Linked DNA regions of Drosophila melanogaster. Changing the gene in region 2 together with the main gene of any one other region gives a genetic interaction. Each region holds a gene or a part of one and is shown on either strand. Other genes may lie near its edges.

What was found.
Region 1: of sens (region 2) and msk, changing one suppresses a phenotype caused by changing the other (phenotypic suppression), as found in Drosophila melanogaster (one study listed by BioGRID).
Region 3: of sens (region 2) and Nf-YC, changing one suppresses a phenotype caused by changing the other (phenotypic suppression), as found in Drosophila melanogaster (one study listed by BioGRID).
Region 4: of sens (region 2) and pb, changing one suppresses a phenotype caused by changing the other (phenotypic suppression), as found in Drosophila melanogaster (one study listed by BioGRID).

What each region holds. Positions count from the first base shown.
Region 1 is NT_037436.4:8,114,602-8,122,084, reverse strand, and holds msk (moleskin), read right to left. Parts: upstream 5,907-7,483; 5' UTR 5,646-5,906; coding exon 5,556-5,645; intron 4,781-5,555; coding exon 4,545-4,780; intron 4,490-4,544; coding exon 3,992-4,489; intron 3,929-3,991; coding exon 3,752-3,928; intron 3,539-3,751; coding exon 3,393-3,538; intron 3,341-3,392; coding exon 2,543-3,340; intron 2,481-2,542; coding exon 2,257-2,480; intron 2,174-2,256; coding exon 1,863-2,173; intron 1,808-1,862; coding exon 1,335-1,807; intron 1,271-1,334; coding exon 1,074-1,270; 3' UTR 506-1,073; downstream 1-505. Other genes in the region: ldbr (lariat debranching enzyme), read right to left, coding at 1-166; Arp3 (Actin-related protein 3), read left to right, coding at 6,360-6,403, 6,497-6,677, 6,741-7,055, 7,292-7,483.
Region 2 is NT_037436.4:13,395,713-13,402,762, forward strand, and holds sens (senseless), read right to left. Parts: upstream 5,414-7,050; 5' UTR 5,196-5,413; coding exon 5,036-5,195; intron 4,755-5,035; coding exon 3,673-4,754; intron 1,743-3,672; coding exon 1,592-1,742; intron 1,356-1,591; coding exon 1,123-1,355; 3' UTR 516-1,122; downstream 1-515.
Region 3 is NC_004354.4:6,817,658-6,822,582, forward strand, and holds Nf-YC (nuclear factor Y-box C), read right to left. Parts: upstream 3,263-4,925; 5' UTR 3,070-3,262; coding exon 3,026-3,069; intron 2,868-3,025; coding exon 1,499-2,867; intron 1,437-1,498; coding exon 1,044-1,436; 3' UTR 521-1,043; downstream 1-520. Other genes in the region: iav (inactive), read left to right, coding at 1-12, 68-288, 349-499; xit (xiantuan), read left to right, coding at 3,436-3,503, 3,559-4,473, 4,537-4,647, 4,715-4,925.
Region 4 is NT_033777.3:6,739,034-6,743,841, reverse strand, and holds the start of pb (proboscipedia), read left to right. Parts: upstream 1-1,778; 5' UTR 1,779-2,674; intron 2,675-3,667; 5' UTR 3,668-3,742; coding exon 3,743-4,292; intron 4,293-4,808. Other genes in the region: zen2 (zerknullt-related), read left to right, coding at 1-593. UniProt on the Drosophila melanogaster protein: Sequence-specific transcription factor which is part of a developmental regulatory system that provides cells with specific positional identities on the anterior-posterior axis. Controls development of mouthparts, and labial and maxillary palps.

The DNA.
Region 1 (7,483 bases), 5.3 Mb from region 2:
TTGGTACAGCCATCGTCTGCAAATCCTCCAGATTCCGGGTGGACTGAAAATCGCCACAGCACAATAACAAGTCGATCTTGGTGCCGCCAACCTTTTCGATGCCCTCTATGGTGTCGTATATTCGTTCCAGCTCGCCATGTGCACATCCTTCGACAGCTATTTTCATGGTTAATAAAGGTAAGTTACTACTTTATAAATAAAACTTGGTTGTAAACAAATGCAACCGGTTGTCCAAACAAATAACGCGTTCTGATATCGCTTATCGATCGGCAATTCAGTGTGAGAAAACGTCTTTGGGGAACGACAGGATGGACGCTCTTATCGATAACTCTACTTAATGACCGCCAATATTTAAACTGCTGAAATCTTCCGGAAACAAAGTCTTTCAGCACTTAGCATTATTAAATATAATTATATATATTAGATGTACTTATAAAATTCGTTCCCTGAACGGTTTAAATACCTCACAAAAAGGTACACAAATAAGAAAAAGATTTCTCCAGTTCAAACGTTAAAAATTTTTTTTTTTTATTTTTCAAAAATATCGCTTCATTTAGTACAGAATATACGTGTATGTGTGTATAAAGAAAATGTATGTGAAATGCTCTGCGTTGAATTCTCATTCTCTGACCTAGATGCCAACTTTTTTTTGGAGTTCTACGGGGGCGTGCTGGTGGGCACAATCTCATTTAATGAGACCTTCTCGTCCTGACGTGTTTGTTTTTCGTTTCGTTTCGTTTCGTTTACATACAAAGATTTACAATGGACTTAAGTTATCATAATTTAGTTGGCCGCCCTGGCCACAAAATAGGAAATAAAATATAAATCTACAATAAATATAGTGCGGTCTCGTCGCCGCTCGACCGATCGATTTTTTAATCTGATTAATCGACCGATTGTCGCAGCATACATGGGTACACGGAGTGTACGAAAACCAAGAGAATGCCTTCAAAGCCATCATCAGCATGCCAGATGTATTTTGTTTGATGTTTTTGTTATTTTTGGAAAGAATATGAGAAACAATCAAGTCAGAAATCGAACCAAGTGTCTGGTGATCTGGTCAATTCAGTTTCTTAGGAGCCGAACTTAAACGACGTGGGCACGGCAGTCTGCGGAAAGGCGAAGCCACCTTGCTTCTCGATCAGCTTCGATTCCTTGGCGGCTTTGCGTTGGTCAGCCGTCACCACCACCTCTTGCAGCGCCTTGGCTTGCTCAGGTGTGAGGTTGGAGGTCAACAGCGCATACCAGGCTTGGTCTTGTGCAGAAAGTGCTGATGGCGAAGATTAGGTTATTAGTTAGTTTTCCAATGGTGTACAAAATTCAGCACAACTTACCAGTAATAACTTCCTTAAACGTCCAGTACTCATCGATGGCGCTTTCGTTCTCCTCATCGTCGATGGGCGTGGTAAACGACTCCAGTCCAGTCTCGTTCAGATCACCCACAGACTCCTCGGCGTCACCGTCCGAGTCAGCATCGTCGTCCTTGATTTCGGCTTTCACTTCGAAGCCCGACTCATTGCCCTTGGTTTTGGCAAATTCGGCCAATTTATCCAGATAGTCCGGTGCCATTTCGTCCATGTCATCCTCGTCACTGGACAGAGCCTCCTCACAGTCGTCACCGTCCTCCTCCTCCTCATCTTCCTCTTCCTCCTGAGCACGAGACTCGTAGGCGCGTTTTAGACCATCGAAAAGCAAAATAAGTGCGGGCACAATCTTTCCAGCCACTTCGCTCAGAACCTGGGGCTTGGCTTCGCCCAGCGAGATGAGGGTGCACAGACCCAGGACGCAAAGTTTGCGATCGTGGATGCTGGAAAACGTAACAATAAACTATCTAGATCATTAAAAAGCATGTCCATTCTTACCCTAGGAAACAGTCCGTGTCGTGAAGCCACTGCTTGATAAAGTGCGCGCTGATAGAGTCGTTGTTTTGCTGGGACATTTTGTCCAGAATGGACAGCAGCAACTGGGGATTATAGTAGAGTGCCGCGATTACCACTTGCAGGCACATAGTGCGCAGCTCTGAGGATTGAACTTCACGTGTTAACCGGGACAGAGCCAGCTCCACGAACATATGTATCACTGAGTCGATTTGACCCTTGCACTGCAAGATAATCACTTCCATCAGTTTGGCGGCATGGCACTCGGGATCCTCGCCAGGGCTACTAGTAAGCATCTAAAATAAATTATAATTATTATAATTATTATTATAGTTATTCGAGGTTCAGACATATTTAATTATTAAGAATAGAAGCTTACCGTTTTGCACATGTCGAGAATCGCCAACAGCCTGTTGGGATTGGAGAGGAAAGCGGGCGTGTCGACCGTCACATAGTTATGCAGAGCAGGCATAATGTCGATAAAGTAGTCAATACCGTCCTTCTTGAACACCTGATAGATGAGCTCCAGCATCTGCCACATTTCGGGGGAAATGGCCTTGGCTGTCAGGTCGTAGACCAGGGAGAAGGTTTCCTCATAGAAGTCTGAAGAGATGACCAGATATTTTTATAAACGATATCAACGATTGAGGGCACAGCCAACTAACCAGTTATGTTGTGCTGGAAAATGTGTCCGACAACATTAATGACGATCGGGTGCAAGTTAAGCAGGACATCAGGATGCTCTTCCATCACACTGAGCAGAGTTTCGATAGTGTTAAGCAGACTCATGGCCGTGATGGCCTTCTCGTCGGATCCCTCCTCAGATTCTAGGACCTGGCTGAAGGTGGTGGCCAGGTGCTGGCAGATCTCGGTGGCCACGGGCAGCAATTGCTCGGTGAAGGTGCACACGATCTTTTGCATAACGTTTGTTAGATCTTCGTTCTCCGTCTCTCGAATGATGGTAAGCAGCTCCTTGGTGATCTCCTTGATCTGTGCCTCCACGTATTGCGGCGCCTCGTCCTGGGACGATATGAACATCTGCAGACCGATAGCTGCCTCCACTTTGACGGGCAGCTCCTTGTCGGTAAGCAAGGCGTTTGTGGTCAGACGCATTATCTCGGCCAGCACTTGGGGATTCTTGATTTGAACGTCACAGAAATAGTGCAGCACCCAGCACGCGCGCGCTCTCATGTGGCCCGCGGGATTTTGGAATTCTGGGAAGACGTAGGTGGTCAGCATGGACTCCACTTGGTCGCGGTACGAAGCCTTCTTCAGCAGTACGTCCGCCAGCGTTCCAATCATGTGCAAGGCACCATCTTTCTGTTTGTTGTCCGCATTCGGCGATGTAATTATCTGCATAATTGTGGCCATTGCCTTGGGCAAAATGCCCTTGCGCTTTTTGCACATAGAATGCAGCAGAGATTGGGCTGCCGGTACAGGTGTGGCATAATCCTCAAAGATATCTATTGGAATCGGTTAGTAATGTAGTTCAAGTCATTTAAAAAGTTCTCTTACCGAACTTAAGGCGAATGTACTCGTAGGGATCGCTTTCCCAGAGCTCCTGATCGGAGTCAGTAAACGACATGATGGGAAAGATCACGTCCTGGATGACAGCCACCATGTGAGGCTTAATCAGCTTCCAGGTGTAGGCGTGGCTAACCCTGCAAACGGAATAAATAACATTTAAAAAAACGAGTCAACTGATTGGAATCGACTTTTGTAACTGCAATTATAAACACTACATCTTATCAGCTTTAAAAATTTTCAGACTTTCTATCAAAGATTAGGTATCTCCTAATTAAGTAACATCGATTTTACATTCCAACTATATATCAAATGTCACATGAGAATTTATAGAATACTAAATTACTTACGCATTCTTCAGATAGTTGAGCACATCAGTGAGGACGCGTGGTGAGACGTAGACTCTGTTTCGGTACTGGTCGAGGATCTTGAGGAGCACCTCCAGCACGCCCTGGCTAAACGTGGGCAGATACCACTCTGCGAATTTTTGGTATTTTTCACTAACCACATTGCTGGGACTGCCATAACTAAATTTATACATACAACGTTAGTTATCTAGACTATGACTATAGATACTGCCGTCAACGTACCGCTCGAACATGCGAACCATGATGTGCAGGGCCCACTTCTTAGTCTTCCAGTAGGGGAACTCCGTTCGCTCATCATCGTCCAGGTGCGAGCTATCGGGCACTGCGCGATCAGCCACCTGACGACAGATCTCCATCCACTGCGAGAAGATCTCCTTGGTAATGAGGTCCAGTGGAAGGGTGTATTGCGTGAGGGCATAGTAGATCTTGAGAATTTGCTTTTGTAGCAGCACAGATTGCTCGGACTGCTCTGCCAGCAGTCGGACCATCAGCTGGTAGATCATGGGCAACAGTAGGTTCATTGCCTCGTTTAGCGGCGTCCTCTCCTCATGCCGCTTGTACTCGTAGGTCTTGACCAGCTGGTACATGGTTACCAGAGCTCCGTTCCAGCCGTTGACATCCTGGTTTTGCAGATATATGCTGATGCTATCCACCACCTGTGGCCAGCGTCCAGGGAAATCGCTTTTAATGATGTGATTGACGCAGACAGACAACTGGACCCTGTGTACAGAACGAAATTAGCCCCCTGGAAAGGATTTTCAATGGATTTACCCACCTAATCAACTCGGGGGCGTGCACAATAGCATCTACAATAGCGCCACGGATCATAGCCCGATCCTGTTCGTGTATAGAGAAGGGTATTGGCTCTCCAGGCTTGGCCTCGTGGTCCGACCAGCTGCTGTTGATCAGATTCTTGAGGTAGACAGCACCGGCCTGGCGCACCGGCTGTTCCACCGTCGTCTGCATAACGATCTGCAGTATGGTGGGCACAAATCCGATGATTTTGTGTATCTGTGGGGATTTTAATGTATAGAAATAAAATAGAATGGATATGTTTACACAGCTGTTTGGGGTTGGGTTAAATTTGAATTGGTCAAAGAATCAATGGCAGAAGCACTTTAAATTCCGTTCACAGAGCTCAATTAATATGGAGGAGCCAAGAACAACTGCTGGCCATAAGCGCTGATAAAGTTAATTGACAACAGGGGGGTTGGTGGGAGGCGATTGGGAGGGGCATGCAAATCGTTAGATGCTGACTCAGTCGTAATGAGCATGCCTCTACAGTGGGGCCAAAGCAATTGGTTAGTGGGGTGGGGTCTAATTAGACTGGCCGCTCTGATTGCCCACATTTATTTCCAAGGGAATTGCGTAAGCTTCAATCAAAGGGCATTCCGGCGATATTTCGAAAGTCTCAATTAAATATTTATTAACAATTCAGTGGATTTCCGAAGAATCACACGAAACTCGCAATAAATATGTACACATATAGAAATATATATAGCATACATACATATGTAGGTGCCCCAAAGATATCGACTTGTTGCCTCTGGGGCAACAACATAGAAGTCGGGATAATGGTAAACACATAAAGGGCAAACTTTTTGACCGATATCGGATTACACTATCCACACCCACACACTTGTACAACGACCAGAGTGATGAAGTGCGGGAGCGAGGGAGGTTAAAAGCGAACAATTAAAAAAGCACATGGTTTTCAGGCGATGGCGCCACCTCCAAAGACCTTTCGAATTCAAGTGCAGGCGTTTATTTTTGGGAGCAAACTCACCTGGGCCAGTTGATCCTCGGCCGCCTTGCGCTGTTCCGGATTCGGATCAATAGTTGCGCGCAACAGTTCCGTGAGTTTTTGTGCCTCCATTTTTGCTACTTTTGCTTGATTCTATGTTTCGCCGGTCTTTCTGCTGCACTTCGTCGTTTGGCGGTCACCTTGTGCCCACTGTGCACCCGCTGTTCTTGCCTTTATATAGACCTTGGTTTATGCTAGCCGAACCAGTGGCTCCAATGTGTGGGCCAAATTGCAAATCTCTTTTTCCGGAGGAAAAAACGTGGAAAAGACTCCACACACGCACACACACACCGCCGAAATTCGCGAGACGAACGAAGCTTAGAAGAAGAAGAAACAGCGCCTGTGTGTGTTGACTAACGCCGCAGTGTATGGGGCCCTACAGGGCTGCATTATGTTCGCCGGTAACAGTTTAGCCAAAAATTCGAGCAATATTGAAAAGCCTTCGCTGCGGAAAATCTAGGCACCATTTATATATAGACCACTTGCTTCATAAGGTAACTATATTTAAAGGCTTAAAAAACAGCGACTTTTCACAATTCCCGATAAATTGCCATTCAAGTTGCATGGCCAATCGATTGTTGCAGCCCTGGCAGCTGCTCGTACGTGAACACGCGAATGTGTGTGTGACGAAGAGCAAAGTGACACATAGTTGGAGGTGTGGTTGAAAATATATAGAAATCTGGGTTTATCTGCAACTGAAACGAAGGGAAATTTGTGTTAAAGGCGAGCGAAGATCGCAACTGAAGAGCTTTAACTGGCAGCAAGGCAAAAGGACGAGCAGCGACCATGGCAGGCAGGCTACCGGCATGCGTAATCGATGTGGGCACCGGGTGAGTTTTTAGTTTCGATTGCCCGTGGGGGTCTCCAATTGGACGGAAAGGAGGTCGACTGACTAACACTCTGCTTGTCTGCACATCCATCAGCTACTCCAAACTGGGATTTGCCGGGAATAAAGAGCCGCAGTTCATTATTCCCTCGGCGATTGCCATCAAGGAGTCGGCACGAGTGGGAGACACCAACACACGGCGCATCACAAAGGGCATCGAGGACCTGGACTTCTTCATCGGCGATGAGGCCTTCGATGCCACCGGCTACTCCATCAAGGTATGCTCTTGTATCTATGGTCATTAAGCAACCGACATCACATTTATCATTGCATTCCAATAGTATCCGGTGCGTCATGGTCTGGTGGAGGACTGGGACTTGATGGAGCGCTTTCTGGAGCAGTGCGTCTTTAAGTATCTGCGCGCCGAGCCTGAGGATCACTACTTCCTGCTGACTGAGCCGCCGCTAAATACGCCCGAAAATCGGGAGTACACCGCGGAGATAATGTTTGAGACGTTCAACGTTCCTGGTCTGTATATCGCCGTCCAGGCGGTGCTTGCCCTAGCCGCCAGTTGGGCCTCCCGGTCCGCAGAGGAGCGTACCCTTACAGGCATCGTGGTGGACAGCGGCGATGGAGTGACGCACGTCATACCCGTGGTAAGTAGCACAGATCTTATCTTATCAGCAGAGTTGGGTTGGCACTGGATTCGGTAAAAACTGTTTGAAAAGAGAACCCAAAACCGAAACAGTCGACGGATTTATTTAATAAATAAATAGCACATTCTGAGGCTATTATTAATACTACAGAATGTTATATTAAGAGGGAATTATTAAGATAAAATAGCGTATTAGTTATAACCATATAAATATATTAAGCTGTTTTTCATTTCTAGGCCGAGGGCTATGTGATCGGCTCCTGCATCAAGCACATTCCCATCGCGGGCCGCAATATCACCTCGTTCATCCAGAGCCTGCTACGCGAACGGGAGGTGGGCATTCCGCCGGAACAGAGCCTCGAGACTGCTAAAGCGATCAAGGAGAAGCACTGCTACATCTGTCCCGATATCGCCAAAGAATTTGCCAAG
Region 2 (7,050 bases):
CTTCGAACACTTATTGGCGTTTTCCCCAAGGATCGGGCATGCAAGTGGGCCGAGGGGGATGTGTACCTGCTGTAACGCGGCGACTTACAAAGGGCATTCCCCAAATGCCACATTGGGCACAGATCAAAGATCACCGCGTCACCCGAAACAGGAGCAACTTATTCCCCATCAATTGAGTACGTGCAGAAATTCATCTATAAAATCAGGTTTACGAACAGGCCCCCGAAAAAATATTTGGAGCGCTTTGGACAATTTGTATCAAAATGTGGTACTTCAAAGGAGGAGGCTGTGTCCTTGATACTAAGGAATTTCTCAGCTGCTCAAGGGGTTGATCGTAATAATGAGATATTTAACCCACCCGATGTAAAAACTTTTTGAATTAATAATACATACCAAAAATATATACATATGTATTAATCATATCATGTGTATTTTCTGATATGCCTGAGGATTTTGTATAAAGGAATCAATCAATCATTCTAGATATTTTATCCTTAAAAAAACCCATATATTTTGTTTGTTCTCTTTTAGCTTTCAACTTTATTTTCCAAAAATCATATACGCTCCTAATAAATATAATTACAATAAGTCATTGGGCTTATTACAAAATAAGAATAAACTAAAAATTCGCATAGATCGTATAAATAAATGTGGGTGATGCCATCAATAAACTTAAATAAATTAGGAAACTAAATTTAGACAAGTGGTCGCCAAGTGGTAGTTCATTTGTTTGAGGTTGTTCTTTGGTACGTTTAGCTGCCAATTTTGGGTTAAGTTTGAATCAAATCAAAAACGCTTTATGCAATAAATTAGATTAATCATTAAGCTAGGGTTTAACGGCTATAAAAAAGAGTCTTGTTTGGGATAACTATGTACAGACTTAAGGCAGTATCTTAGCTAATATGTTTTAACAATAATTCTTACGATTAGGTAAATCTTTGCGAAGGCCTAAACAAAACAAACTTTGGCTTCATAGCAACGACTTAGACTTAGGGCCAACTGTGATCTGCTCCACCTTCATCATCATCATCATCATCATCATCATCTGGTTTTGAGTGTGTGTCTCGTCCTGCTTAGCTAATACTGGGATCTCCTGGATCAGAGATTGCCGCCTAGCCTCGGTCAGCAGCTGCTGCTGCTCACCTCCATCTTCAGGGGCTTCAGGTCCTCCACTGGCGGAGCCTCCTCATGGCGGCTCTCTCGATGACGTCGCAGATCCACCTTGCGCTGGAAGGACTGATCGCAAAGGTGGCAACCGAAGGGTTTATACCCCGTGTGCTTCCTCATATGCGTGATCAGGTTGGAGCTCTGGCTGAAGGCCTTCAGGCACACGGTGCACTTGTGTGGCTTCTCGCCTGGAATCGCAGGAAAATCAATAAACACAATTAGTTAAATGCCGCTTCAAAGTTTATTAATTGTGGCCGAGAGGCGGCGGCAGCTTTACAGCAATTAGACAAATTGAAAGGCGATAGGGATCTGTGTGTGTGCTCAAGGGTGGCTCTGTTTGCACCACGTTCTGACACATTTGCCGAGGAATAGTTGGATACTCTCCCCATGGACTAGCTTTGATTTCACCGAATATTCAACTTACCGGTATGTATGTACGTGTGCTTTTTCATGTCCGACTTTTGGTGGAACCGCTTGCCACAATATTGGCAGGGATATGGCCGTGTATCGCTGTGGATGAGCAGATGTGTGGACAGGGTGGACGAACGCTTGAAGCTCTTGCCACACTGTTTGCACTAAAAAGAAAGACATAGACAATAGAAAAATACATTATTAACACCACATTCAGACAGAACGAGTCATGATTATTGGAACTCAGAATACCCCATATTTGCACAGCTTGAGCATATTCACACCAAAAAGCCAAATAATCAAAAAATCAGAAAAGAATTTATATATAAATTCACCGTTTTTGTGTGCCTGAGCCAAATTCGCAGTGGCAACATGAATTAAACTAGATTTGTGAGTGCTCAAATATTTGTTAGACAAGTGACGACAAGGGAAAACCCAAACCAAGCCAAACTTGGTTAGCCCACATCCAGGCGACAAATAATCTAGAACCTTAGCCATTTCTCAGCGCTGAAACCAGCTAGGTAAATATCTCGGCCCAATGCTAAATCTCAAGTGAGACACTTTCCAGGGAGCTTTAGCCATGCATATATGTACATACATTGTATATACCGCAGTATTTGTGGGCCAAACACAGCTGGGATCCACGGGGAATCGATCGCGGGGATTGGACGAATCCAGTGGCTGTAACATCTTCGGTTGTCAGATTAAATGTTTGAACAGTTTGCCAGTTGCAGCAACGTTGCAAGTAACCAAACATTGACATAACACAACTCAAATCGTCGGCCTACGTGGGCGACATTTATATTAAACACGAAAACATGAAAACAACGAAAAGTAAAACACAGAAATGGGTGAAAAAAATGTGAGACAATTTTTTTTTTGAAAAACCCGCATGGTCTACGCGTAATTGTAAATTGACACAAGTGTCGGTTTTTTAAAATTTCTTTCTTATTGATTTTTATGTTCTCTTATTTTTTTATTTTTTACGTTTTTTTTTAGCCTTGTTTTTGGGATTTTCTATTTGCGCATTGCATTCGCGTGGACCATATCCACTACACACATTGGCTAGACTCAGACCCAATTAGTTGCTCTATTGTTAAGCTGCGCTCAACTGCCTGAGCCATAATGTCAATTTGCTTAGCTCTGACAACGGAACGGAAGTTGGCAAAGCTCGAAAGGCAAAAAAAAAAAGAAAAAACGAGCAGGGAAACAAAAAAAGAGTTAAGGAGAAACCCCAAAGTCTGAGTCAGCCGGGTGGGCCTCCAATGGTGAACAGATGTAAAGCACGAATTACAGAAAAAATTCGATTTTATACATAAACAGCTGAAGAACAGTGACTGCGCCTGCGCAAAGGACTCTGGCAACTGTCTTCGTCGGCTTTTTGACCATATGTCGGTCCGGTACTGAAGCCCGAAAACCTATCGCATTTCACTCTGACCCTTTAATGTGTGAAAAAAAAACTGGAAAAAGATGTTAAAAAAAAAAAAAATAAGGACTCGCGGCGGGTGTTGATGGATATAAACGCAATATGACATCGGGGTAGGCATAAGGCCTATTAGGGTAAGTCGTCTCAAATTCCTGAGGGTCGTGTGCCCTCTTACCTTTTGCACAATCCAATATCGAATTATTATGATTGTAATTTGTACATAAATCTTCGAGGGCGAGTTATGCCCCCCACCGCACTGGCGCTAATCAAAATTATTTGATTAACTAATTGCGTGATTTCGATGGGACTTAATTGAATTTCCATAGAGCTCTATCGGTTTGGCTTGTATTACCAACTTTATGACAGTATTTGCTGTGCCACTTTTCCAAATTGAAAGTGGTATTGGTGGGGTTTTCGGCTCGGCGACAATTAAAACCCGCACGGACAAAATATGAAACAATTAACACAGGGGAATTGTCGAGGACACGCAACCTTATGCAATGATACGAACAGTATTCGTTTTGGGTTATAGATCATGGTCCTTCAGGACACGTGATAAGCCCATTAAAGCGGGCTGGGGGCTCAGAGATTTTCAAGCGATTTGCCCTCGATTTCCTCTTCATATTTCCCTACCCCTCGACGCGTTTATCCTGTTTGAGTTTGCTTACCTGGAAATTCCTGCCGCTGCGCTTCTCTTCGTTTTCTCCTTGGTAAGATGACGAGGAGGACGAACGACGCGCAACATCTGTGGCCGTCGAGTCAGGATGTTGCTGCTGATGCTGATGTTGCTGCGGCTGCTGCTGGTGATGCAACTGTTGTTGCTGCTGCTGCTGCGGCTGTTGGTGTTGATTACGCATGTAGCCGAATTCGGCGGCTGCCACCAAATTCATGAGTGCCGCTGCCGAGCGGTTATCCTGCTGCTGCTCGTCCTTGATGCGATGCTGTTGCTGCTGCTGCTGCGGCTGCTCGCTCTTCAGCTTCAAGTGCTGGGTGAGCAGCTCCAGATTGTTGCCCGTCAATCCGGCCATGAATGCGCTGCGATGGGCATACAACTGCTGTTGGGCCACCTCGAACTCCAGATCCTGGACGGCATTCGAGGCGGGAGCGGACAGCGAGGAGATCGGCGATTGCAGCGAGGATATGGATGCAGTTCTGCGCTCATACTTGAACTTTCGCACAATAGGATCCACCTGGTGCTCCTCCTCATCGCCCTGCTCCTCCATCTTCAGGCCGTACTGCTCCCTTCTCGCCGATCTCTCGCACATCGAGGCCGGTGACCAGATGATGTTACCCTGCGATCTCTGGCGCTGTTGCTGTGGTGTACTCGAACTCTTTAGATTCACAGCGCTCAGGGGAGGCGGGGTAACGTTCAGCGAGGTCATCGGATGCAGTTGCTCCACTTCACTGCTGGAACTGCTCCTGCTGCTGTTGTTGCTGCTGCTGTGATACTGATCTCGGTTGGAATCATCCGATGTGATGCGCTCCTTGGTGCTTAGATTTAGTGGCATATCCTCATCCTGCTCCTGATAGTCCTGCTTGCTGTTCTCATTGTTATTGTTCATTTGGAGTTCATGCTCCTTTTCGGGCGTCAAGGCAAAGTCACGATCCCGCTGACCCAAAACCACAGAGGCGGGCGATTTGGGGGTCATGGGGGTCAGTGGTGTACCCAGAGCCGTGGCCGAGGACAACAAAAATTGGGGCCACAGTAGGGCACTCGAGTAGAGCAGCGGGTTGTACAAAAAGGGCAGATCTATGAAATGCAAATTTAACGAATCAGTTGAATAGTAGTGATTAAGATTAGGAAGGAAAAGTATCCTCAGGATGCCTATCAATATAAAGTTACTCTTGTATTGGTAAGAACTACAGTAAAGTTAACATAATTTTTCTGATCTGTTGAAAGTGTTAACATTTTGATTTTAAATCGAGTGATCTTTTAAATACAATTCGAAACGATTAAAAAGCTATAAGCTAATCTTTTTGCTATCTTTACTGCCCCATATATTTTTCTGTCAATCCAGATCGGGAACTCACCTCGACCATTGAGTTTCTGTGCTGCGGCGGAGGCTATCACAGTGTTGAAGGCGGATGCCCGCTGCATCCACTGCTTGTCCAGAGCTGCTCCATGGCAGCCCAATCCCGCGGGACTCGGCTGCTGGGAGTGCGGCGATGGCGGCGGCGATAGGTGATTCATTTTGATTCTGGATCTTTACTTTTTGGAATCTCACTGGATCTGATTTACGTATTTGCTTTAACAGTCTTTGGATTGTGATTTTTCTCAATACTGTTCACTGCACAAATCTCACTTTCTTGGCGTTGTGATCTTGGATTCGAACGGATCTTCGATGGGTCTTATTCAGTGCGGTTTTATCTTGACTCACTGGAGACGAACACGTCCGTATCGCTCGGTGCTTCGCACCTGACTGAATCTTTGGTCGATGGCTCAGTTCTAAATTGAGCCAACGGTGAAGCGACTTGGCCCGAAAAAAAGGTACAAATCGAGCTCTCTTTTTTTTATTTTTGTGTGCGACTGTGGTTACTTGTGGCACTGTGTGAGTGCGGCAGCAAGCCGAATCAAAACGAGCCCTCGGTGTATTGGTGTTGACTCTTTTGGTGGTGGCTCTCGAGAGCCCTGCAATGTATTGTTGGTGTTGGTGTTCGTGTTGCCAACTCTGGTTTTTCACCTTTGGCAGCAGTTGGCGGCAGTTGCAGTCCTGTGTTCCATGTTGTATGGGTCAAGACGCACAGTTAGGAGTCCCCTGGCGATCTCGATACCCCAACCCCCTGCGTTCGTATCCTCTTGGCCCATCTACTACTGGTTTTCCAGCACGCGTTTCCCTACTAATTGGTATGCACTTAAAGTTTGGCGGGCGTTTGTTATCCTTTTCCCGCTGCCCTGTAACAGTTACAATTGCCTTTGCTCTTTCTGTTGCTGCCACCAACTGTTGTTGGCTCAGGAATATCGGGATCGGTACTTTGGCCAAGGGAGAAGAAGCGAGAGAGGGCCAGCAATCGGCAGAGGATTTCACTGCTGATCGGTGGAAGGGGGGAGAGGACGAGGGCGGGATGGGGCGGGGTAGCATACAAATATTTAGGTGGATGAATCCAAGGATCTAACATCTGTCGTGGCAACTCTCCATGTTTGTAGATACTGTTTAGATTACCTTTAGATTTGACAAGGATTACAAATGGGTTCCTAATTTTGAATGTGATGAAAATTAATTTTTGTATTAATTATTAAAAATACATTGCGAGTAAAATATAGGAGAAATTAAGTTTAAATTCATTTTTATTTGCGCTTCTCCCAATAAGGGTAAATAGTTTAAAGCAACATCGTGAATTTAATCTTTAAGCTTTAGACTTCATCCATAAAAAGTGTTATTACATTTTAGAGGATTGACGTAAACCTACTTCACAACCAATGCACAAATATATAAACTTTATTTAAATTATTGTAGAATTTTTTTTGTTATATTTCTATATAAAATCTACCTTACCAAAATGACATATTTGATTATAATAATGTTACATTTAAATACATAAGATTAGGACAGATTTTATTTAATAGCTATCAAAATATCAGATTTCCCATTTAAAACCGTTTTAACAAATAGTTTGGTTTGGTTTCAGAACATTAACTTTCAACAAAGTTTTTGTTAAATTTCTCAATGCAAACTTTGCAGTTCGTCGTATTTTCCTAAAGCATTTCAATAAAATTAAAAGACTGAATTCTTTTGTCAGTCAATTTAAAACCAATACCAAACTCTAAGCCATAAAGTCCCCATCTTCTCGTTGGATCGTAGCTATTAAACCACTCAGATAGGACGACTGAGCACCTGCCACTTTCTCCCTCTACCGCTCGATGCACCTTTTTCCGAGCTTATCCTTGATGAGAGTTCGGGGTCCTCCTCCTGAGTTGGTAGCTCGCCACGCTTGGCCACCTCGTCTTGGCCGCCTCAATTCCAGTTTATCTATCCTTGGCGCGGGCCACACCTGCCTAGAAAACGAGCCAAGAAAATGTGGCGGGCGCACACTTACACTTCCACATT
Region 3 (4,925 bases), on a different chromosome or scaffold from region 2:
GATGTGGACACGGTGAGTGGATAAAAAAAGTGAAATAGCTGAGTGCAAAATGTAAACCCACTAGCAGGGCTTCCACTTCGATGAAGCCGTCGCGGAGGAGGTGCTGACCATCGAACAGGAAGCCGAAGTGGAGACCGAGGACGGCAATGGTGGACAGGACAGCGAGGATATACCCACGGCGGAGGAGGTGCACGCCACTATGAAGCAGTTTCACCTGCGCAAGTGCCAGCCAGCACAGGATGAGGCCGCTCGTCGCGCCAAAAGTGCTCGTGTTCGTCGCCGAAACAAGTGAGTTCCCATCCCAGTGTCCGTTTCATATCTTAATCCCACGTTTTCCTTGGGCGCCAGAGTTTCGCCGGAGCAAAGCGATGATCCGGACGAGCGCAGCCAGCGGGGACGTTCCGCTTACACGCGGCGAACGCAATCGCCGCCCGATCCGCTGGAACCATGGAGCACCCGCGAACTGCAGGACATCAACAAGATCCTGGCCAGAAAGTGAATACAGTTAGCGCAGGAGTTTCTGGCACATAGTCCTTGGTGGCTTATAATTGTTTATCAGATCTTAGCTTAGTTAGAAGTACAAATACATAATAAAGAGCGCGGATGCCACGCGAAACGCTGGGTTATGCTTTGGACCGGTGGCATCCGTCACCCGTCACATACATACACTAATACACTCGATTTCCCATTATTCTCTCTAAGTGCTAGGTTTAAAAGTGGTGGAGGTGGCGGTTTTTTTTTTTGGAGAAGGTGAAACCTGCTGCCAGGGGGCGGGAGGGTCAGCAATAAATTACAATTGAGAAATCGTTTCTACACAGATGCCTACGACTTAGACACTAGCTATATATAATCTCCCCCGCGATATACAATCGTATACACCTACGTAAACTATAATATTATACATTGTGCTGGATGACAGGGGATGGCGCAATCAATGCCCGCTTGCCAATGCCCGATTCCAATGCCTCCCGATGCTTTCGATATGATTGCCAACTGTCCGTCTGTCCGTCCGTCCGTTGGTACGGATATCATACTTCCAGCTTTTACCGAAATCCGCCGGTTAATGTGCGATCCGTGGACATGGTGGAGATCGTTTGTGCCTGTTGCTGCTGCGCCGACTGCTGCTGCTGCGCCTGCGTCGCCGCCGCCTGGGCACCAGTCATGGTCGAGTTGATAAAGATCGGCGTGCCACTGGCCACCGCACTGGCGTTGCTCTGCTGCGTGAGATTGGCGTGCTGCTGCTGTTGCTGCTGCTGCTGATGGGCCACTGTGGGTGCTCCGCCCAGCTGGAGCAGTTGCTGTGTCGTCAGCAGTTGGGTTGGTATGATGACCTGTTGTTGCTGCTGCTGCTGTTGCTGCTGCTGTTGTTGCTGCTGCTGCTGCTGTTGCATTTGTAGTCGCTGCAGGAGATTCAAATGACTGGCATTGATGGCGATCTGCAATGGGAAAGGCAAGTCTTAATCTGGGATTCAATACAATTACCTCAAGTGATACCTACCGGCACATTAGTCAGCTCCCCCGTGGGCGTAACCACTTGCTGCAGCAGCTGAATCTGCTGCTGATGTTGCTGGTGCTGCTGTTGCTGCTGGGCGAGATTCTGGAGCAGCGCCGTCTGTTGCTGGGCAGTCGTTTGCGGCGCTGGCGTTGCGGTCAGCTGACCATTGGGACCGGCGGTCAGTATCAACTGCTGGGTGGGTTGTTGGGTTGACAAAATGTTGATGGGTAGATGATTCTGCGCGGGCTGCGGCTGCTGCACGAGCTGCGCCGCCTGCTGACTCGGCAGTGCGATAAAGTATTGCAACTGTTGGCCACCAGCGCCCTGCTGAATAATCTGAACCTGCTGTGGATGTGCCTGGTGATGTTGCTGCTGCTGTTGTTGCTGCTGCTGCTGGGCGGCGTGCTGTTGCTGCTGTTGTTGTTGCTGCTGCAGTTGCGCTGAGAAGATGTCCGAGTTGACAGTGCTGAAGCCGAGCACCTCGGCGGCATTGGTTGCACCCGTGGTGTCCAGCTTGAGGCCACCAGCGGTGGTCGCAGGTACGGTGGAACCACTGGCTACAAAGTTGCCCGTGGCGGTAGCATTGCCCGCCACGGAGGCGGCCGCATTGGAGGTGGCTGTGTTGGAGGTGGAGGCGGCACTGCTGGCTGCGCCCGCCATTCCGCTCGAACTGGATGTACTGCCATCCTTGGTCTTTTGCGCCGACGACGGTTTGATCTCTTCGCGCGGCACAATGTCGATGAGGAAGTCGAACTGGTCGTAGTTGGCTATGGCCTGGGCAATGTCCGAACGCTGGAGCGTACGCCGCCGGCTCTCCTCGGTGTGCACCCAAGCGTGCATAGTCAGCTCCTGAATGAAGTACTCGCAGGCTTTGGCAAACAGTAGCGGCGCCTCGCCGGCAATCATCTTGGCGTTCTCGTCCAGCTTCATGATTTTCTTGATGCGCGCCAGCGGCAGCACCTGGTGCTTGGCATCCACCTGGCCGATGCTGTGCACCTCGCTCACGATATTTGGCCAGAAGTTGTCGATGGTGGGCGGCGGTTTGCGTGCCACCTGAGTTCGTGTGGCCTTCGTGGTCTTCTCCTTGGCGCCGCTCGCAACGGTGGTGGCCACCGTCACACTCATGCTGGGATTAACCAGCGTACAGGCGTTGGACACCAAACTGGCCATGGGAACCGTCTGCTGTTGCTGCTGGCCCTGCTGTTGCTGCTGCTGCTGGGCGGAGGAGACGGTGGAGGAGGAGGTGACCACCACTGCATTCGGTGTTCTTCGCTGCATAGCCGCTGAATTTTGCGATTTGGCATACGCCTGGCCCAGTTCCATCTTTATGGGCGTCACTGTGATGGTGTTGTCGAACATGGAGGTGGCATTGCTGTAGGGCATTCACATTAGTTTCATTCAAATTATTTGGCATGCACAAATCGCAGAATGAAAACAAAAAGGATCGGCGCACACACTAAAAATCTCGGCTGTACCGCCTGTTTTTTTGGGGGAGGGGCGCTAGATTTTGCTGGCGGAGGCGGAACTTACCTGTTTGGCGCCTTGTTCGTGCCGCCATTGTTGGTGGCGTACATGGCCCGGTTGGCTGGAGACCTTAGCTCGGCGTTGGCGGCAACCGTGGGACTCTGGCGACCGGCTCGAGTCCACAATATTCGCTTTAATTAGCTTCTAATTCGCAAAGCAAATGCGTAATGTAATGCACACACACACACATGCATACACGCGAGCGTCAGTGTGACCAGGCGGCGGTGAGGGCGAAAACTGGACAGCCCGATAACGATAGCTTTTAGTCGGGCTAACTGGCTACTTCCAAGCCACATTTAGCCGGCACAATCGACAATCGCATTCTGCCCGCTTTCAAGCCAGATCGGACAGCACTTACCGCTGATAAGGAATGCATCGAATCTAAACTACAATCCCAATCCCTGAGAGAAACGAAGATGAAGGACCTCTTCTGGCACCTGGTGGGCATAGCCACCGGCCTAAAGATCCTGCTGATTCCAGCCTAGTAAATGCAGTGCTCTGTCCACTTATCAAGCCCACTAAATCAACTTCATCCTTAGCCATTCCACGGATTTCGAAGTCCATCGCAACTGGCTGGCCATCACCCACAGTTTGCCGCTGAATCAGTGGTATGTGGACGCCACCAGCGAGTGGACACTGGACTATCCGCCGTTCTTCGCCTACTTCGAGTGGCTGCTCTCGCAGGTGGCCAAGTACGTGGATCCACGAATGCTGGTGGTGGATAACCTGAATTACGAGTCCAAGGCCACCGTTTACTTTCAGCGGCTCTCGGTGATTGTTACGGATCTAGTGTATGTGCTCGGCGTGCGCAGCTGCCTGGGCTCACTGGGATTGGGCAGGGATACGCAGCAGTTCTTTGCCGCCTCCATGTTGCTGCTCCTCAACGTGGGATTGATCTTCGTGGACCACATTCACTTTCAGTACAATGGCTTGCTGTTCGGCATACTGCTCCTGAGCATCGGTTCCCTCATCCGGCAGCGGTTCCTCTGGAGCGCCTTTGCCTTCGCCGTGCTGCTCAACTTTAAGCACATCTTTCTGTACATGGCGCCCGCTTTTGGGGTCTACCTGCTGCGTTTCTATTGCCTGGAGCAAGCGAGTGTGGTGTCTGCGGTGGGTGCCGTTGTCAAGCTGCTGGTCGTTGGACTTACTCCGTTCGCCGTGTCTTTCGGACCCTTCTGGCAGCAATTGCCGCAAGTCCTCTCCCGTCTGTTTCCTTTCAAGCGTGGCCTAACGCACGCCTACTGGGCACCCAACTTCTGGGCGCTGTACAATGCCGCCGACAAGTTGGCCGCCGGAGTTTTGAAGGTACAGGATGGCGGTGCCTCGACGACGTCAGGATTGGTCCAGGAGGTCAGGCACTCGGTGCTGCCAGCCATCACACCGCCTGTGACTTTTGCCCTGACCGCTCTCTTCATGCTGCCCATTTTGGTGAAGCTCTTTCGCAGTGCCAAGAAGTGAGGAAATCCTCGTTTGGATTCCAAGATATCGCAGCAAACTTATCCGCCATCTCTTTGCAGACAAAGTCCGCTGGTCTTCCTGCGAGCGGTGGTTTTGTGCGGCTGTTCCTCCTTCGTCTTCGGCTGGCATGTGCACGAGAAGGCCATCTTAATGGTGCTCCTTCCGCTCTGGTGAGTTCCCTTCCCCTCAGTTAATTCGAAATGAAGGAATCCTACTAACAGGCCCACCCTTTTTCAGTCTGCTCACGCTGGTAAACCGGGAGGATGCCAGATACGCCTATGTCCTTGGCATTGCCGGCTATTTCTCTCTCTTTCCGCTGCTCTTCGATGCGGATCTGTACATTCCCCGGTATTCCCTGTACATGTCGTACGTGGCCATGATGTACGGCCAGCTGTATCGCATCTTCCCCGGCTTCCGAGGCTTCCACACGCTGGAGTGGCTATACATG
Region 4 (4,808 bases), on a different chromosome or scaffold from region 2:
TCGAACTAGAAAGGGAGTTCCATCTCAACAAATATTTAGCCCGAACCAGGCGAATCGAGATATCACAGCGTTTGGCACTCACAGAGAGACAGGTTAAGATCTGGTTCCAAAATCGTCGCATGAAACTCAAGAAGTCGACCAATAGGAAGGGTGCCATTGGAGCGCTGACCACATCTATTCCACTTTCTTCCCAGTCGAGCGAAGATCTTCAAAAGGACGACCAGATCGTAGAGCGTCTCCTTCGATATGCCAACACAAATGTGGAAACAGCTCCACTCCGGCAGGTTGATCACGGTGTCCTGGAGGAGGGTCAAATTACACCACCCTATCAGAGCTACGATTACCTCCATGAATTTTCTCCTGAGCCCATGGCTCTTCCCCAACTGCCCTTCAATGAATTCGATGCTAACTGGGCGAGTTCATGGCTGGGCCTTGAGCCAACGATTCCTATCGCAGAAAATGTAATTGAACACAATACACAGGATCAGCCAATGATACAGAATTTCTGCTGGGACTCGAATAGCTCTTCTGCTTCATCGTCGGATATTTTGGATGTTGACTATGACTTTATTCAAAATTTGTTGAACTTTTAAATATATCTTTGACTATATGTTTAGGCAACTGTACATACATACATATATAATCATTGTATTATACGAGCAATATCTTTCTGTGACTACATTATTATTACTTATTTTGGATGAAATAAAATATGTTTTATAATTAATGTGCGCATTTATTTGTTCAAACAAAAAATGCTGGTTGTGCAGCATTTGGGGATACATTTTGCGGACTCGATTTTCAAAAATTTCACCACCAGACAAATCAAATATTTTTAGACAAAATTCCATTTTAGTGGGCGATACAGTTGAGAAACTAAATAAGCTTGACTTGTTAAAACATTTATTTATATGATATTTATAATGAATGGCCTTGGCTTTTTATTTTACTTAATGCTTCCTCAAAGTTTCTGTATTTTTCACACATATATCTTTTTCACAATTTTAAACAATCTCATGGTGCGCATCGTCATTACGTAGACTGCCGATCACATAGCTCCCTGCTGTCAGACAACTTGTTCGTCAGAGCGTCCAAGTACGAACACCACCCCCAGCTGCAGTGCAAAATCGTGGCAATATTTTTACACCTGTAGTGACACCCGTGTGCATTAAAATCCGCACATAATTACAAACTCTGCGCGGACTGGATTGGAGAACGTTAGCAAAAAGAGGGCGAAAAAGCGGCCAAAAGGCAAAAAGCAATGCCACCAAGATTGACAGGAGAAGAGGCGCCCAAAACAAAAAGAGCGATGAGCGAAGCAAAATGTCAAAAATACCCATAGCCGAAAGCCAAAAAAGCCGGAGAGCGAGAAACTCGCTACTGTGGCTTTTTCTTTTCATTTTTTAGCAGATGCGAAATGTGTAAATAAGAAAAACCAAATAAATTCCGTCACAAGCAACACGTTCGCGTTGGAAGTGGAAAAAAGTGAATGAGGCAAGAAAACGCCGCGGAAATGATGGCCCAAGATACAGGGGTTCCCGAGCTACACGACCGCAAAGATACAAAACAAACTGCCGAGCCGGCCAATCAGAGGGCCGGAGACTTGTGCGCCGGTGTGTGTGAACTCCACCCCCTGGTCTCTGCGCGTAATGGCTATAGTAACCAGTTTCCAGATGGCACCGCGCATGTGCCGACCAGGAAAAAGCGTGATGGATGCGGTGGCTGTCGCTTAGGCCACTCCTTGATACTGGGTCCCAAAATCCCAGTTCAGTGCGTTCGGTGCTATTGGATGGAATGGTTGTTGGCTGCTATCTAGCTCTCGGGAACCGCACGAAGCTCCCCAAAAGCCCTCTGTCTCGCTCTCGCTACGAATCGGTTCGGTATCTAAAAAATAATATTTATTAAAATGACAGCTACAAAAATAGTTCAAAAATTTTGAAAACTAAAAAGTGATATTATTAAAACGAGTTGAAACCAAAAGTTTTACTATACGGTTGAGAAGCACTTTAGGAACCCCTGGAAACCCGGTTCTGCGCACCTCTTGAAGGCCAGAGAGGGACAGCTAGTGCCCACATGTGTATGAGTGCGAGTGGAGAAAACTATCTCAGACGAATTGCAACGACTGAGTGTGTGTCTGTGTGTGGCCATTGCAGCGATCGCAGCGACTCTACAAAACTCTACAAAATCAACACATTCCGCATACGCACCGTTGTACAGCGCGTACTTGCACTATTGTCGTTATCGCCGTTGTTTCGTCGGTTGTGTTGGCCTTTCGCGTCGCCATGGCTGCCAAAAGGTGTGTGTCTATGTCAACCTGAAAGCGAAAAACCAACTCCAAACACCACTTGACGGTTGAGCAAACACAACGGTGGCCATATTTACATTCGGATCTGGGTTCCCTCGCTCTCGTCGCGGTTGTCGCCTCTTTTCGCGGCCCACAGATAAGCCCTGACACACTGAAGTTTTACGCAAAACCCGCATCGCAAAAGTTGTGCCGGTTGAAACTAAAAAAAAAAAACAAACAAAAAGTTAAGCCAGTTACTATGAGCGAGTGCAGACAATAGTGAAAACGGTGACCCAAGTGATACCGGTGAAATTTCCACAAAGAACGCATATGTCAACGTAAGAGGAGAAATATGGAATACTGTGGTCTGTAAATGATCAACTTAATATGGTACGAAATTATCTTACACATATTTCTTACCTACATTTAAAAATAAGTGTATCCTTTTAAAGCACGAGAAAATCAAAGCGTGTCGTTATTTCGTTTTTGATACAACATGTTAGTCTAAAATACGAGCCTTTTAAGTCGGCAAAATGTTTACTGCAAGAAATATTTCAAATCTTTAATTGGCGGAATCGGAAAATATATTCGAATTTTCTTATTCATTTATACTTCCTAGGAAATTAGCTATGCGGCATTTCTTAGATGAGGATATGTAACAGCTTTATAACTTTTTCTGTTTAAAATATGTTAATTTATTTACTGACTATTAATCCTTAAAAAAATAATGTAAAATAATGTATGCGAACCAAGCCAATTTAGGTAACATTGTAGGACAGGTTGTATGTATTGTACATACATACAATACATATTGTCAAATCTCAATCGAAATTAGGTGGCCATAAATTTAAAGTGAAGGCCTAACAATTTCTATAAGAGCAATAGTAAAAATGCAGACTACAAATGAATTTCTGGCACAGAAAACTGAGAGACTAATGAAATATAAATTGGAATATGTAATTTAAAAATAGTCAAGTTTTTGACAGTTGCAATGTGAAAAATTGGATCGGTAATAATAAAATAAACATTGATTAGCATAGTAAAGTGACGATGTTTTTGTTTCTTAAAATGTTAATGAAGATAATGACATATCTTAATGAAGTATATACGTACATTATATTGAAATTATATATATTCAAAATATATAAATAAAAATTCAAAAATTATAAATATAATAATAAAATAAACATTGAATAGCATAGTAAAGTGACGATGTCTTTGTTTCTTAAAAGGTTAATGAAGATAATGATAACATATCTTAATGAAGTATATACATACATTATTCAATTTCACATTCGATAAGAACAGTGAAACCTCTAACTTCCTGGGAACTGAATCGTGATAACATTATTATGAGATTACAAAAATGGCTTTCCTTTCCAGGTTCCCAAGCTGAGGAACATCTAATACGCTCAGGAATTGAAATAGAAAGAATCTAAAAAAAATTATACCCAAGCTATGCAAGAAGTCTGCAGCTCCTTGGACACGACCTCAATGGGCACCCAAATCAAATCGGAATCTCCACTCAACCCGCTGCAGGTGCAAACTGGACAGACGTCCCTGCCAGTGGGTGGTTGCGGTGGTGCGGGCGTCGTGGGTGGTGTGGGTGGCGTGGGAGTGAGTGTTGGTCAGCCTGGTATCGGACAGCAGGGGGTGCCACCTGTGCCGTCGGTGCTCATGGTCAACAAGATGACCCCGAACTGTGATAAACGGAGCGCGGACACGGCCTATTGGATGACAGCATCCGAGGGCGGGTTCATCAATTCGCAGCCGTCGATGGCTGAATTCCTCAACCACTTGAGTCCGGAGAGTCCCAAAATCGGAACACCTGTTGGATCCGGCGCCATTGGCGGAGTAGGCGTCAACGTTAATGTCAATGTCGGCGTCGGAGTCGGATATCCGGTTGGCGTTGTCCCTCAAACGCCGGATGGAATGGACTCGGTGCCGGAGTATCCCTGGATGAAGGAGAAGAAGACATCCCGCAAGAGCAGCAACAACAACAATCAGGGTAAGTCCACATGCACATTACACTGGGGGAAGCATAAGGTTTTTAATTTAGCGATCGACCATGTCAATTTGAACACCATTCTCTGAAGAATAGGCGATAATCTCATCAGTCCATCTCAAACTATTGAATCAATCAAATAAAAAGTAAGATATTTTTATAGACACTTTTCCATATCAGTTTAGACCGGAATCAATTGGGTTCTCTTGTCCCGGCCATTTTTTCTTGCCGTGTACTGGCTGGTGAAATGCGAAACTCTCATTAATCACGAGCTCACAGAAACCTAAAGACTCCAATAGCGCCAATTATGCCACTACGAAGTCCCTCTGGCACCTGGTTTCGAAGTGATGAAGAAAGAGCCAGTGCTTTCGCTGACCATTTACAAAATGTATTCCGACCAAATCCCTCTACCAACACATTTATTCTCCCTCCTTTAATAGCAGCCAATCTAGATCCTCAAGAACCCTTTGAATTCCGACCATGTGAACTAGCAAAGGTTATCAAAGAGCAACTGAACCC